Linked DNA regions of Schizosaccharomyces pombe. The gene in region 1 interacts genetically with each later gene. Each region holds a gene or a part of one and is shown on either strand. Other genes may lie near its edges.

The links. Genes that interact genetically often act in the same process or in processes that back each other up.
Region 2: mutations in nup124 (region 1) and xks1 together harm fitness less than expected from each alone (positive genetic interaction), as found in Schizosaccharomyces pombe (one large-scale study listed by BioGRID).

What each region holds. Positions count from the first base shown.
Region 1 is NC_003424.3:1,108,524-1,117,525, reverse strand, and holds nup124 (nucleoporin Nup124), read right to left. Parts: upstream 5,352-9,002; 5' UTR 5,313-5,351; coding exon 5,062-5,312; intron 5,019-5,061; coding exon 1,790-5,018; 3' UTR 1,658-1,789; downstream 1-1,657. Other genes in the region: ddx27 (putative ATP-dependent RNA helicase Ddx27/Drs1), read left to right, coding at 1-1,111, 1,159-1,279, 1,324-1,469; AP-3 adaptor complex subunit Aps3, read left to right, coding at 6,408-6,674, 6,717-6,770, 7,233-7,409; transporter Hfl1, read right to left, coding at 7,416-8,471, 8,680-8,767, 8,823-8,959. UniProt on the Schizosaccharomyces pombe protein: Nucleoporins may be involved in both binding and translocation of the proteins during nucleocytoplasmic transport. In S.pombe it is required for the nuclear localization of retrotransposon tf1.
Region 2 is NC_003421.2:704,310-708,736, reverse strand, and holds xks1 (xylulose kinase), read left to right. Parts: upstream 1-1,838; 5' UTR 1,839-1,960; coding exon 1,961-2,929; exon of another isoform or gene 2,930-3,014; coding exon 3,015-3,509; exon of another isoform or gene 3,510-3,560; coding exon 3,561-3,764; 3' UTR 3,765-3,927; downstream 3,928-4,427. Other genes in the region: protein meu15, read right to left, coding at 9-62, 121-397; retromer complex subunit Vps5, read right to left, coding at 4,400-4,427.

The sequences.
Region 1 (9,002 bases):
TAAAGATATCGTTGGTGCTGCAGTTACTGGTAGTGGTAAGACAGCGGCTTTCATTGTTCCTATTTTGGAGCGTTTGCTCTACCGTCCCAAAAAGGTCCCTACTACAAGAGTATTGATCCTTTGTCCTACTCGTGAGCTTGCTATGCAATGTCATAGCGTTGCTACGAAAATTGCCTCTTTTACTGACATTATGGTTTGTCTGTGTATCGGTGGTTTGTCCCTCAAGTTACAAGAGCAGGAACTTCGTAAACGTCCTGACATTGTCATCGCCACCCCGGGTCGTTTTATTGATCATATGCGCAATTCACAAGGATTCACTGTGGAAAACATTGAGATTATGGTAATGGATGAAGCCGATCGTATGCTGGAAGATGGTTTTGCTGATGAACTGAATGAAATTATTCAAGCTTGTCCAAAGTCTAGACAAACGATGCTTTTTTCGGCCACTATGACTGATAAAGTAGATGATTTAATTCGTTTATCTTTAAATCGGCCAGTACGAGTTTTTGTCGATAATAAGAAAACTACCGCCAAACTTTTAACTCAGGAATTTGTCCGTGTTCGACCACAACGTGAGTTACTTCGCCCAGCTATGCTTATCTATCTCTGCAAGGAATTATTTCATAGAAGAACTATTATCTTCTTCAGGAGCAAAGCTTTTGCTCACAAGATGCGAGTCATATTTGGCCTTTTATCCTTAAACGCTACCGAAATCCACGGTTCATTGTCGCAAGAACAGCGTGTCCGTGCTTTGGAAGACTTTCGTGATGGAAAATGTAACTATTTGTTGGCTACAGATGTTGCATCTCGTGGTATTGATATCAAAGGCATTGAGGTCGTAATAAATTACGAAGCTCCAGCTACTCACGAAGTTTATCTTCATCGTGTTGGTCGTACTGCTCGTGCTGGCAGGAGTGGTAGAGCTATTACATTAGCCGGTGAGGGCGATCGCAAAGTTCTTAAAGGTGTATTCAAAAATTCTTCAGCGCAAAACACAAAATTGGTCAACCGTAATCTGGATTTTAACAAAGTTGAAAAGTTTGGTAAAGAAATTGAGGAATTGGAACCTGTTGTTCAGAAAGTGCTAGATGAAGAAAAACAAGAACGAGAAGTATGTTGTTTTTATAAGTATATAAATTTTTTTTCTAACAAATGTAGCTAAAAATTGCCGAACGCGATTTAAAGAAAGGCGAAAACATTATGAAATATGGTGATGAAATTCGTTCTCGTCCAGCACGTACCTGGTTTCAATCCGAAAAAGATAAACAAGCTTCTAAAGGTATGTGACATTGAAATAAAAAAATATGTTTGCTAACATTATAGCCTCCGAAGCGAAAGATAAAAAGTCTTTAGCTAAAAGAAAAAAGCAAATGGAAAAGGAAGAGGTGCCCCGAGCATACAAGAAGACAAAGAATGATAGACTTAGCAACAAAAAGTCTACAAAAAAATCGAAATCTAAGCGCAAATAGGTGAATACGTGAAAGGGAGAAATTTTCAAATGATAAGTGTTTGGTTAGGTTTTGAATTTTTTAGATACTAGATTATATTAGGGTTTCATATGTATAATGGAAATTGGGTTTTGTGTCTCATGGGTAACTTGGTTAGACCTCCTTTACAAAAAGCTCGTACTTTAATTTATATAATAAGAATAAAAGCGTCCGTATGTGTAAACAAAAATGTAATAATTATTCCTTAGCAATTAATTTAAAGGACAAAGTCTATCTAAACTATCATATACCCAACCGCAATGTTTTGTCATATTGTCTTGTCAACATGTCATAATATTAATTTAACGTTTTCTTCGACTTCGGGGCACAGCAATTTTACGGCCCGGGGGCGCATTTGTTTGTGAGTTAGAAGAGCCCAAATTGAATTGAATACCATTGGGCGCTGGTGATTGTGAGGCACTTGCATTAAAGGCAGACGGAGTAGCCGCACCGAACGAAAATCCGGTACTAGGTGGATTACTAGCTGGATTACTAGGTTCTCCTGACCCGAAGGCGAATGCTTGTGATGCATTATTGATGGACCCGGATGGGTTGGGAGTGTTTCCAGCGCCAAACATAGGAGCCGCAGTTGATCCAGCATTTGATGGAGTGAATGTAAAACCTGTACTAGGAGGGTTATTAGTGGCAGTATTAGTAATCCCTCCAAACCCTGCAGGAGCTGCTGGGTTCGTGCCTGACTGGTTGCCAAACGCAAACGCGGAAGACGGGGCCGGCGTCGATGTACCAAACATAGAAGCAGGCTGAGGCGAATTGTTAGCACCGAACGAAAACCCAGACTTAAAGCCAGACGCAGGTGCCGTATCTCCAGCATCCTTAGCCATGGGAGTGTTCTCTTCCTTATTCATACTAGAATTTGATGCTCCAAAAGAAAATGCAGACGTAGTGGGAGCAGGAGCAGAAGCAGAAGCAGCTGGAGCGGTTCCTTCAGAGGTAGTCTTTGAAGTTGCAGACCCAAAGCTAAATGCCGGTTTATTTGATGTACCAAAAGAAAACGGTGCCGTAGACGAATTTGTAGAGGGATTGTTGTTACTGGATGCTTTAACACCACTATTGTTTCCAAATGAAAAAGCAGGTGAAGGAGTGGTAAGATTCGAAGCAGAATCTTTGCCATCAGCAGTATTAGTCGAGGGTTTAGGTGCATTAAAAGCTGATGCAAAACTAAACGGCGCATTAGCAGTTACTCCATCAGTTTTAGAAGATGTATCCAATTGAGGCTTCGTAGTTTCATTTGACGTTGAGGCTTTTTTGTTTGCCTGTTCTGTAGTGGAACCGAAGGAGAAAGCAAAAGGCTTTGCATCCTCCGTTTGTTCCAAAGTTCTCTTAGTAGCATTGCCATTCGTCTTCGTTGTATCGTTAGGAATGTTATTCTCATTTGTTTTTTCAGATACAGCAGCAAAGGGAGATACAAAATTAAAGGTTGAAGAGGGCACAGCGTTATTAGAAGATACTGAATCCTTTATTTCAGAAGCTTTTGGACCTGTTGGAGGGACCTCTTTTTCAGTTTCCTTTTGCTTTACGGCTTCTTCATTAAAAGTTTTTTCAGGTAGCAAATTGGTTTTGGCATCCGTATTTGGCTTGGTAAAATTAAATGAAAACTGAGGAGCAGTTGTTGTTACATTTTCAGTATTAGGTTTTGCAAACGAAAATGGAGTAGAAGCTTTAGCTGACAAACTGTCATTCGCTTCATCTTTCCCTTTTTTAGCAAAAGAAAAGGAATTTGTAGGTGGGACTTCTTTGGACTCCTTGGTCAAATTGAATGAAAAGGGTGATGAGCCTGCGGTATTTCCAAAACCCGAGGACGGTTTTGATTCGGGAGCTGACGGTTTTGACTCAGAAGCAACAGTAGAACTAGCTAGACCATTTTCAGAAGTTTTTTTGTCATTGAAAATATTGCTTGTTGGCTTTCCAAAACTACTTCCAAAATTAAATTGTAGCGTAGGTTTTGTTGTGTCTTGTGTACTAGAAGCATTGTTTAAAGAGAAATTGAACGTAGGAGCTTTCGTTTCTTCCTTCTCTTCAAGGGTTTTAGGTGCGAATCCTCCAAAGCTGAAACCAGAAGTTGAAGCAGGAGCAGACGGAGCGTTGTCCTTCTTTTCTGTTTCTTCTCGTTTTGGACTTAATTGAGAAAAAAATGAAGGCTTGTTCTCAGTTATACTTGGCGTCTCTTGAGTCTTTGACGGTAATTGTGCAAAGAACGTTGGCTTGGGCTCATTCTCCTTCAAACGATTAGTTTGCACATCAGCAGTAGCAGTTGGCTTAAACTCAAATTTGGGTACATTTAATTTTTTGTCCGTGGTAGCTTCAGTCTTCGGTTCAAACTTAAATTCGGGTACTGAAAAGTGAGAAGATTTGATTTCCTTAGAAGGTGATGGCGGTTCAACTTCGGACTTTCTAGTTGTAGATTCTTTTGTCGGCGATGAGGAAAATTGGCTTTTGGGCGCTTCTGTATCCTTTGACAATGGCTGATGTTCAAAGGTTTTATTATCCTCAGCGTTCGCGAGAGTAAGTGCCGTATCATTCGGAGAAGTCTTTACAGGCTTAGGGGTAATAGAGGCTTGAAGCTCTTCAAAGGTAGGGGCGGACTTCGTCAATAAACCCTTGTCACTTGTATTATCCTTGGGAGATGCTATTATAGGTTCTAATATACGCTCAGATTTTGGATTTTGTTTGGGTAATGCGGTGTAATGAACGTCATCTTCGCAAGCAAAGATTTCATCCAAATCCTCATCAACTGCAGAAAAAGCCTTAATATGACCTTTCTCGAGAGTCTGACGCTTACGCGAAGTGGGTGTACTTAACCGGTGATAAATATCTTGCTTATCAATAAACATTGTATTACCGGGGTTGGAATCTGTCTGAACTTCTGCATTGACTAATACAGGCTTCCTTAAATCCATCTGTTCAAGAGTTTCATAAATGATAGGGATAAGCCGCTGGTGTCTACGACGTCGCCGAGAGGAGCGGTGAGGAACGTGATTTTTTGCTGAGACCTCTGTTTCGCCATTCTCCTTATCTCTAATGTCGGTAAGACTCTTATGGGAATCATTTCCAGAAAAGCTTTTGTTCTGCTTAGCTGAGGGCTCGTTTTCAGAGGCACGAGCAACAGATTTCTTTTTGGAAAGCATAGGACTGGGACTTCTAGAAGGCTTGCGCTTCTCACAAGTAGGATTAGCTTCGGTAATACGATCTTGTTTTACACTTGATATATTTAAGGTATTTTTCTGCTCATCGTGAAGTGACCGAAGGATATTGAGCAATGAAGCAGAGGATTTGGGAGTTGCAATTTGATGTTGAGAAGTGCTGCCCAACTTTTTGGATAAAGCAGAAGAAGGATGAAGCGAATTAAGTGATTTTAACGACAACTCGTCATGGCGTTTAAAAAGCGTTGGGGAATTAGTATAATCTTGCTTTTGCTTTGGCTTCCTAGGTTCAAATGTATTCGTATGAACTTTTTCCTCTATTCCATCAATTGTTCTAACATGGCTCCGATTACTAACGCGAATAATTCTTCTATTTAATGTTAATATGTTTCACGACAAAAATGTCAACTTACGGAGATTTTCCTAAATAATGAGGTGTTAACTCTGGAGTAAGCAGGCTTTTTGTACCTGCTCTTCCACTCTTTCTATCCTTGCTAGCCGTTCCTGAAGCTTTCTCGTCTAGACCACTGGTGAATGGGTGCAAAACAGATGAAAATGCCCGTTTCAAGACCGTAAAAAAGGGCCTTGAGCTCCCCTGAGGTGGGTCATAGGGTTTCTTAACAGTCTTTGATGAAGTGCGAGTATTTTTTGAAACAGGAGGCATCAATACAAACTCATCGACAACTACTAGAAGACGTTGGTTAATGAGAAGTAGCGAGTTTAGTTACGTGGCAATTATTTTTCATGCTAATGACTTATTGATTGTCTGGTAGCGCTATTTGTTATATGCCAATATCGTAGTCGTAGGAACTGTACGACTATTGTAACACGTTTCGTAAAAATGTTTAATACGAGAAGAAAGGGAGTTATTTGAAGGTGTTAAGCAAGATGGAATATGTTAATACAATTTGTTTTCGGTTTAAAAAAATGGGATATCAAATTCTATTTAATCTCGTTACCAGTAAAGTGGTGATTGCAACAGTAGTCCACGAGCCTTAGCTTCGTCAATATTCGCTTTATCAAGTTTTAGGCTGTCTAATATTCTAGCAACTTACTTGCAATACTTAAATTCTTCCGTTTAAATCAGCTTACATTGTATGAAGAAATGATTAGTTCTATTTTCATAGAAAAACACTTAGGCACGTACTGTCTAATCGTACGTAATTGGAATTTCGCTTTACTATCATCTATAGTAGTGTTGATTAAAACAAGTGCCTCCCATATAGCAAGGCAGCGTTCATTGCTAATCATATTATGCAAATATTCACTTAATTAGTATATTAATCAAAAAAAAGCTACCAATATATACCTATAGTAACTGAATAGTGGGATCACCTCATATAACTATTAGTATGTGTCTACTTATTACTGAGATGTCACATACTATGTAGCTATTTGAATATTTCATAACCATCAATTCAAAAATTGGTGGAAGACAAATGTTTTTTCCTATTTTTCTATTCCTAAATTGTATACAAAGTAGTTCGTTATAGAGATCATTGAAGGCATGGCAAAAATTGTTTACTAGACATTATGAATTTCAGTAACAGATCTTTGGTTCAATAGTGGATAAATAATATACTCAATAAATATAAAACCATGAAAATCTTAAATATAGCAAATTAACTAAGGCATTGAAAGAAATTTGTCGATCCTGGTTCTTCCAAACTACTATTAACGTATATTCAACTTAAACTTCAGCTTGCCGTTTACCAAGCACTGCATATTTGGGTTCTGCCAGCTTTCCCTTTCTATTGTCATGATTTACGCTGTTTTTATATTTAACAATAAAGGGAAACCTCGTCTCACAAAGTTTTACACTCCAATTGATGAATCCATTCAACAAAAGTTAATAGGAGATATATATGCAGCTGTATCCACTAGGCCCCCAACCGCTTGTAATTTTTTGGAAAGTAATTTAATTGCAGGTAAAAATAGAATAATTTATCGCCAGTACGCTACTCTCTACTTCGTTTTTGTAGTAGATGAAGGTGAAAGTGAACTAGGAATTCTCGATCTCATTCAAGTAAGTTGAAATTAGTTACTTTCCAATTTCTAACTATTAAAGGTATTTGTTGAAGCATTAGATCGATGCTTTAATAATGTTTGCGAGCTTGATTTGGTAAGTACATTTCACTACTCGTTTATCTTCCCATTATCCTACTGCTATATGTTTGAAACCATTGATTCCGTTTTTTTTTATTTAATTTGTTTTTTTCTTATTTGGTTTCGAATGTTTGGAAATTTGGCCTTACAAGAAACATTAATGTTTGTCCAATATTCGATTATCAAAAGAGCATAACATTTATTTTTATCATTTATTGAACTTAGGAACTACAAGAGTTTAATTCCTAATTCCTTTACTTCTCATCGCCTTCAAGAAAGAAATTATGCATAGAACTGGAAGTAGAGTCTCATTGTCGATGATTCGCAATCTCCAATGAAAAAAAAGAGGAGGTGTTAGTAATAATTATCCAAATACAAGTGTATACGCCAAAAAAAAAGGATATTGAAGGAAGAAATAATTAGAAGAGTTGAAAGCCATCTGTTTGAAAGCGAATTAGAAAGATCTAACACAATATAGGTTTTTAAATTCCAAGAAATACATGCTATTCTTGCTGAGGTAGTATCTGGTGGTCTTGTCTTAGAGACAAATCTGAATGAAATTGTTTTGGCAGCTCAGAATCAAATGCCAAAAACCAAACGGTCCAATGCAATGCCATTCAGCAATACATTAAGTTCTTTTGCTACTAGGTTCTAGTGACTTTTATGTATATGAAGAAGATGCATGAGTATTGTTCACTAGAAGAACTGGATAATTATAATCACCATAACGCATCTGTTTCGCTTGATTGTATAATGGTTCCATTTCATCGTCTATTTCAAATTGGAGCCCATTTTCGAAATGTGAAGTTGACATCCCTGGGATAGAAAAGTAGGACTTATTTGATTGTGGAGAGTTTTGACTATTGTTAATGAGACGCACTCGAGATTGATCATATCGAGAAATCCAGTATTTCGATTGACCTCCCTGACTGTACCGAAGACCATGACTTGTTCTATTAATCCTTCCATCGTTTCTTGAAGGTATTAAGTTCTCCCCAGGCTCAAAATTTTGATATACATAACGATCTCCATGTAGAGTTTGCAAACTATCGCACCAGACGTCTTTCAACCCGATTACGTCTTTAAAGGCTTTAAGGAGCGGTAGTCTTGCACAAGACAGCCATGTGGGTGTATCGTAATCCTCGATTCGAAAAGCGTACCAATGTGAGAGGGCAAAAAAGGGCATTTCTAAACACATGAGAACGTTCTGATTTAGTAAGGAGTAAATCCAGCCTGTTCCATTTAAAAGTCCCAGCCAGTTTGTAATGGAAAGAACGGTTTGCTGCCAGTAAGAGGCAAATATAATAGCTTTAACGGAAAGGAATTTTGGGAAAGGGCGAAAAGGAGCGAGCTCTTCATGCAAGCAAACCCAAAAAGTTGTTAGTGAATATAAAGAAAGCGTAATTGAAATGTTATAAACAAGACCTATCCAAAGGTCTGCAGAAGCATAAACAGGTTGATCTTCTCTGTCGTAGACTCCGGTGACTTTTGTTAACAGCACGGCAATCACCAGAAATGGTTTAAGCCAAGTGTATTGTAAAATCCCACGTTTTATAGAAAGGAAGGTGTAAGGATCACTTAGGTCAATATCATCTTGCAAATAATTCAAGGGCCATAACCTAGGACGAGGCAGATGTCCATGCAAACTAATAACTGCAGCCCGTTCTCCGCCAAGATAATCAATTAATAAACAGAAAAAGCAATACAAAGCGAATGCCTAATTTATTGTTAGAAATTATTCCATTAAAACCTCAATTACGCCTCATTAACTAACTAAACTAGTAAACCAACATAGTACAACTCATAACAGCCAAACCACTCTTTCAGTCAACCCCTTTTCAAGCATTTTAAAACAAATCTGCAATATATTGATTGCCAAGGAAGGTACTTCATTCAATGGCAACGGCTAAATGAGAAAAACCTACCTCGTAAATTTCACGAAACGGTTCGAAAATACTTCCAATTTTTTCATTGTATACCGATAAAAACGATACAGAAGAGTAAATTACAATCCTAGCAAAGCATTAGTACATTTCTATATCAGTCAAAGAATTTCAATTTTACGAACATCATCAAAATTCGCACCACAGAACGCTGTAAGACTGGTTTTTTGTAATTTTTCAAATGAGTAATGATAGAAATACATGATAGCACTAAAGCAATGGCTACGAAGAAGCCGCATAATGCGACTATTTCGTTGTCCATGAAATTAGAGCTGATCGTGATGAAGGGACAAAAATGCAGGCAA
Region 2 (4,427 bases), on another chromosome or scaffold:
TTAGTTACCCTCGTTGGGGCGATTTTTTGCCGCTTCGTTCCAAAAATCAGATCTGAGTTTATCTAGACGATTAGATGGTTAGCAATTTATTTAATAGTTTTACGCAAAGGGAAAACATACAGCACCAGCAAACATAAAGAGTGAGATACAGTTCGTAGTATAGCATCTCGATAATAAAAATCCACTTGTAGGGAACTTCATAATGTTCCAACGCAAAGAATATTGGAAGTAAACCAAGCAGTACCCACCAAGTTTGGATGAGCGCAATGCTGCATAACCACCAGTAACTAATTTTATAAATTTTTTTAATCTCTTCCAAGGGAAGAACTTGTGGTTTTACCTCTTGTAGGTTTGCTGCACCACTTGCGGCTTCATAACTGGGCAAAGTTTCCTCCATTGTGCAATATCTAATTTGTTAGAATGAAATTAAGATGAAATACATAGGCAACTATAAAAGCGACTAAAATCAAACTAAAAAAGAAGGTCTGTTTAAATAACAGTCGCAAATTTGTGAATTGAGCGTGCAGCATTCTCACCTACCTTTCTCAATCTGCAGAGGTAAGAGATCCAAAGAAGGCTAATTTATGTACTTAAGTTTTTTGTTTTAAAGAAATTGGAAAAGAACAAAGGAGTAAGCCTCTTATAAGCAACTGTTGAGGGCATTATGTATGCATATACAAATGCCCTTGACGACAAAACAAATACTATAGAATTCGCTCAACAATACGCAGAAAAAAAAACCGTACAGCTAAACGTCTAGCCACCCCTGGCTTAGCTATATTGATTTTGTAAAAATAGACTCAGAAGTAAAGATTACGCTATCTTTACGACACCATAACTGACAATGTTTTGCTAAAAGAAAACTAATTCTTCGCTCCAAAAACTCTTGGAATTTGTTTAATCAATTGATCAATTAACGAAAAAGTTTATGTAGCGATTTCGTGCCATACTCGAGAAATGGCTTATTGAAGGTTTGGAAAAGTAAATAATAAGAGCGATTTACCAGCTTACAACTATTTTCGGACATTTGAGGGTCTCTAACTTCAAAAGAAAAGGAATTTATTTCGGTATAAACTGTTCATGTTTAGACAGCTTCATTTTAAAAAATATGCTGGTTTTTTCATTAAAGATATTTTCGGCCTCATACTTTTGAGATGTAGCATTTTGTTTTAGCTAAAAAACATGTTACTCATTGAAAAAAATAAGCTTAACAAAACGAAAGTAAGTGGTTCGTTTCTCTAAGCTTAAATTAAGGACGCACATTACGCATATCTTAAAATGATATTTCAGGATCTTTGTGATAACGAAGCCTAACCACAACCATATAGGATTTGTATTATTTCTTGCTTTATTACATACCATTGCTCAGTTCTGAGTACAATTAACAAACAAGAAAATATTAAATTTATTGAAGTAATAACTTTTTAACGATTTTTTAAGTAAACGACTTCATTTCTCCTTCTTTTCGTGTTCTCCCAGAGTTCAGTCAATTGTTGCTGAAACAAGAGTTTTTAGCTTTATTCCTTGTCAGTATCAAACTTTTCAGCCATTTTTTTATATTGATATTCGATTTTGAAACGAATATCACTTTTTTTCAAAGAGTTTTTTGCCAAACGTGTTTCCAACGCGTTGTTTTTCTCTAGAGTAAACAAGGTACCTTACCCCAACAACACTCTGAGTTTTTTTAAGCTAACGTTTGAAAAGGTTTCGGTAAACTGTATCTAAGGTATTTTTACGAACATAATCGTAAGTAAAAACGGACATAAGTCACGGCTAGAACTTTTGGATGTCAATGGTTAACGATATATATATTGATCAGACATATAACTGCGGAAAATACAGCTTAAGGAAGGCGCTAAAACGAGATTTTTCTGTTAATTTGATTTTGTCGAAATTCATTCTTTCCGTTTCTTAAGTACAATATATCGACAGTCATTTTAAAGATTTGACTTTTGTGAATATGTTTTTAGGTTTGGATCTCTCAACTCAGCAGCTCAAGGGCGTGGTCATTGATGAGTCTTTGAACGTGCATCAAGAGGTTGCCGTCGATTTTGATCGGGATCTAAGTGATTACAACACTATCAAAGGGGTCTACAGGAATGGATATGAGGTTTTTGCTCCAGTATGTATGTGGCTAGACGCCATCGATTTACTGTTTGAGAGACTTAAGGCTTCTGTGGATGTTAGCAAAATACAAGCTATATCTGGTGCCGGTCAGCAACATGCAAGCGTTTTCCTGCTTAAGGGAAGTAAAAAAGCCCTCAATTCGTTGGATGCCAAATCTTCTTTAAAACAACAATTGGAAAGTCTCATTCATCCAACATCTCCAAATTGGCAAGATGCCAGTACTACCAAAGAATGCGAGGAGCTTGAATCTTGCATTGGTGGAGCCAAAGCACTAGCGGACCTTACTGGGTCTAAAGCTCACCTACGCTTTACTGGACCCCAAATCAAGCGTTTTCGTCGTTTGCACCCCGAGACATACGAAAATACCGAACGAATTGCACTTGTCTCTAATTTTCTAGCCTCGGTACTTCTGCAAACCGAGGCACCTTTAGACATCAGTGACGTTTGTGGAATGAATCTCTGGGACATTCAGAATGAGAAATTCGATATTCGCTTGTTGGAAGAAGTTGCTGGTAATTCTAAAGGACCCGACTTGGCTAACAAACTAGGTACGGTTGAGATTAACGGGGCAAAACATCTAGGACCAATTGGGAAGTATTTCGTTAAGAAGTATGGGTTTTCTCCTAACTGTCAAATCATTCCTTTAACTGGAGATAACCCTGCCACTATTTTATCCCTTCCTTTAAGACCGGGAAAAGATGTACTATTATCATTGGGTACTAGTACTACTGCTCTAATGGCTACTCAAAACTATGTGTGTTCTCCAGAGTATCACATGTTTGCTCATCCTGTTACGCAGAACGTAAGTTGAACTTGACTTTCTTTTGGTGAAGTAGTTGTTCAAAACTCATCATTTTCTCTGGTTTTCTAACTAACATGGACTTTAGCATTATATGGTAATGTTATGCTATAAAAACGGTAGCTTAGCGCGGGAACAGGTAAGAAACACAATCAATGAAAAATATAATGTTTCGGACAATACCAGTTGGGACCGCTTTAATGAATCGATTTTGAACCCCAACATTAAAGGTGCTGGTGAAAAGAAACAGCTCGGTCTTTTTTATCCACAAAGGGAGATTTTACCCGCAGTTGGACCGGGTACGTGGAGATTTGCAATCCAAGGCACCGAGTTGTATCAGGTGGATAAAGATGAAGAATCATGGGATTATCCAGATGAGGATGCTTCTGCCATAGTTGAAAGTCAAAATCTTGATATCCGCATGCGGATTACTCCTTTGCTAACTGGTATACCACAACCTGATCGTGTTTATGTTGTAGGAGGAGCTAGTCGTAACGAGGCTATTGTGTTTAAAATTAGCCAGGTTTTGGGATGTGATGTTTATCGGCTAAAACACGGCGGTAGTAATGCCTGTGCTGTTGGCGTAAGTGAACGGAAAATGTTGTTAATTAATAGTTACTGACCATCAATTTAGGGCGCTATCAAGGCTGCATATGCAATGAATGGAAAAGGATTTACCTTTGAAGAATATGTAAACAAATCTTGGGATGAGTCCAAGAAAATTGAACTAATCATGAATAAACCATCCGCCCAAACTTATGAAGAATATGGAAAGCTTTTACCTTTCCTCAAAAAGGCTGAAGACATTGCGATTCAACAGTCAGATATCCGGCATTGAATTGATTAAATGCTTTTCCATTTCGCACTTGATTATGTGATTAGCTATTGATATAACGAGATTATTAATGAAAGCGAAATCCACTTTTTTTTTTAAAAAATATGAATAAACCTTAGGATACAAAATGATAAACGTTTCCTACATGAACATTTTTTTGAGCTATCGTTTTGAGAGCTTTGAATCACGAGTCTAAATTAAGACAAATAAATATGTAACATAAAGTAGTCATACACCATATTATTAAACAAATTTTTGCATACGCTTTTACATATAAGTAACACAATTTAAGCAGGAAAAAGCGTTTAAACATAAACAAATATAAAAAGGCTTGAGTAACAAAGACAATTTTTAAAAACATACACAAGTTATTTATTTACAAAGGAGTGTAGGGTTGCTGTAAGGTTAGTAGATAGAATGCAATATTTTAAGGTACATTTTCTTTTCAAGTAATGAAGTACCATGGACGAAAAGGGAAATTGCAAAAAAATAATTAGAATAGAATAGAAATCGTCAGCTAGAGAAGTGCAAAGTAATAAAGCGGTAGTTGGAAATACATTAATACGAATATGGGATAGAAATATTACACGAAAGAAAAACATAAAAATTAAAAGAGTGCATAGGGAAAATTAGAGTCGTTATTGATCCAAAAATGATTCCCAACGC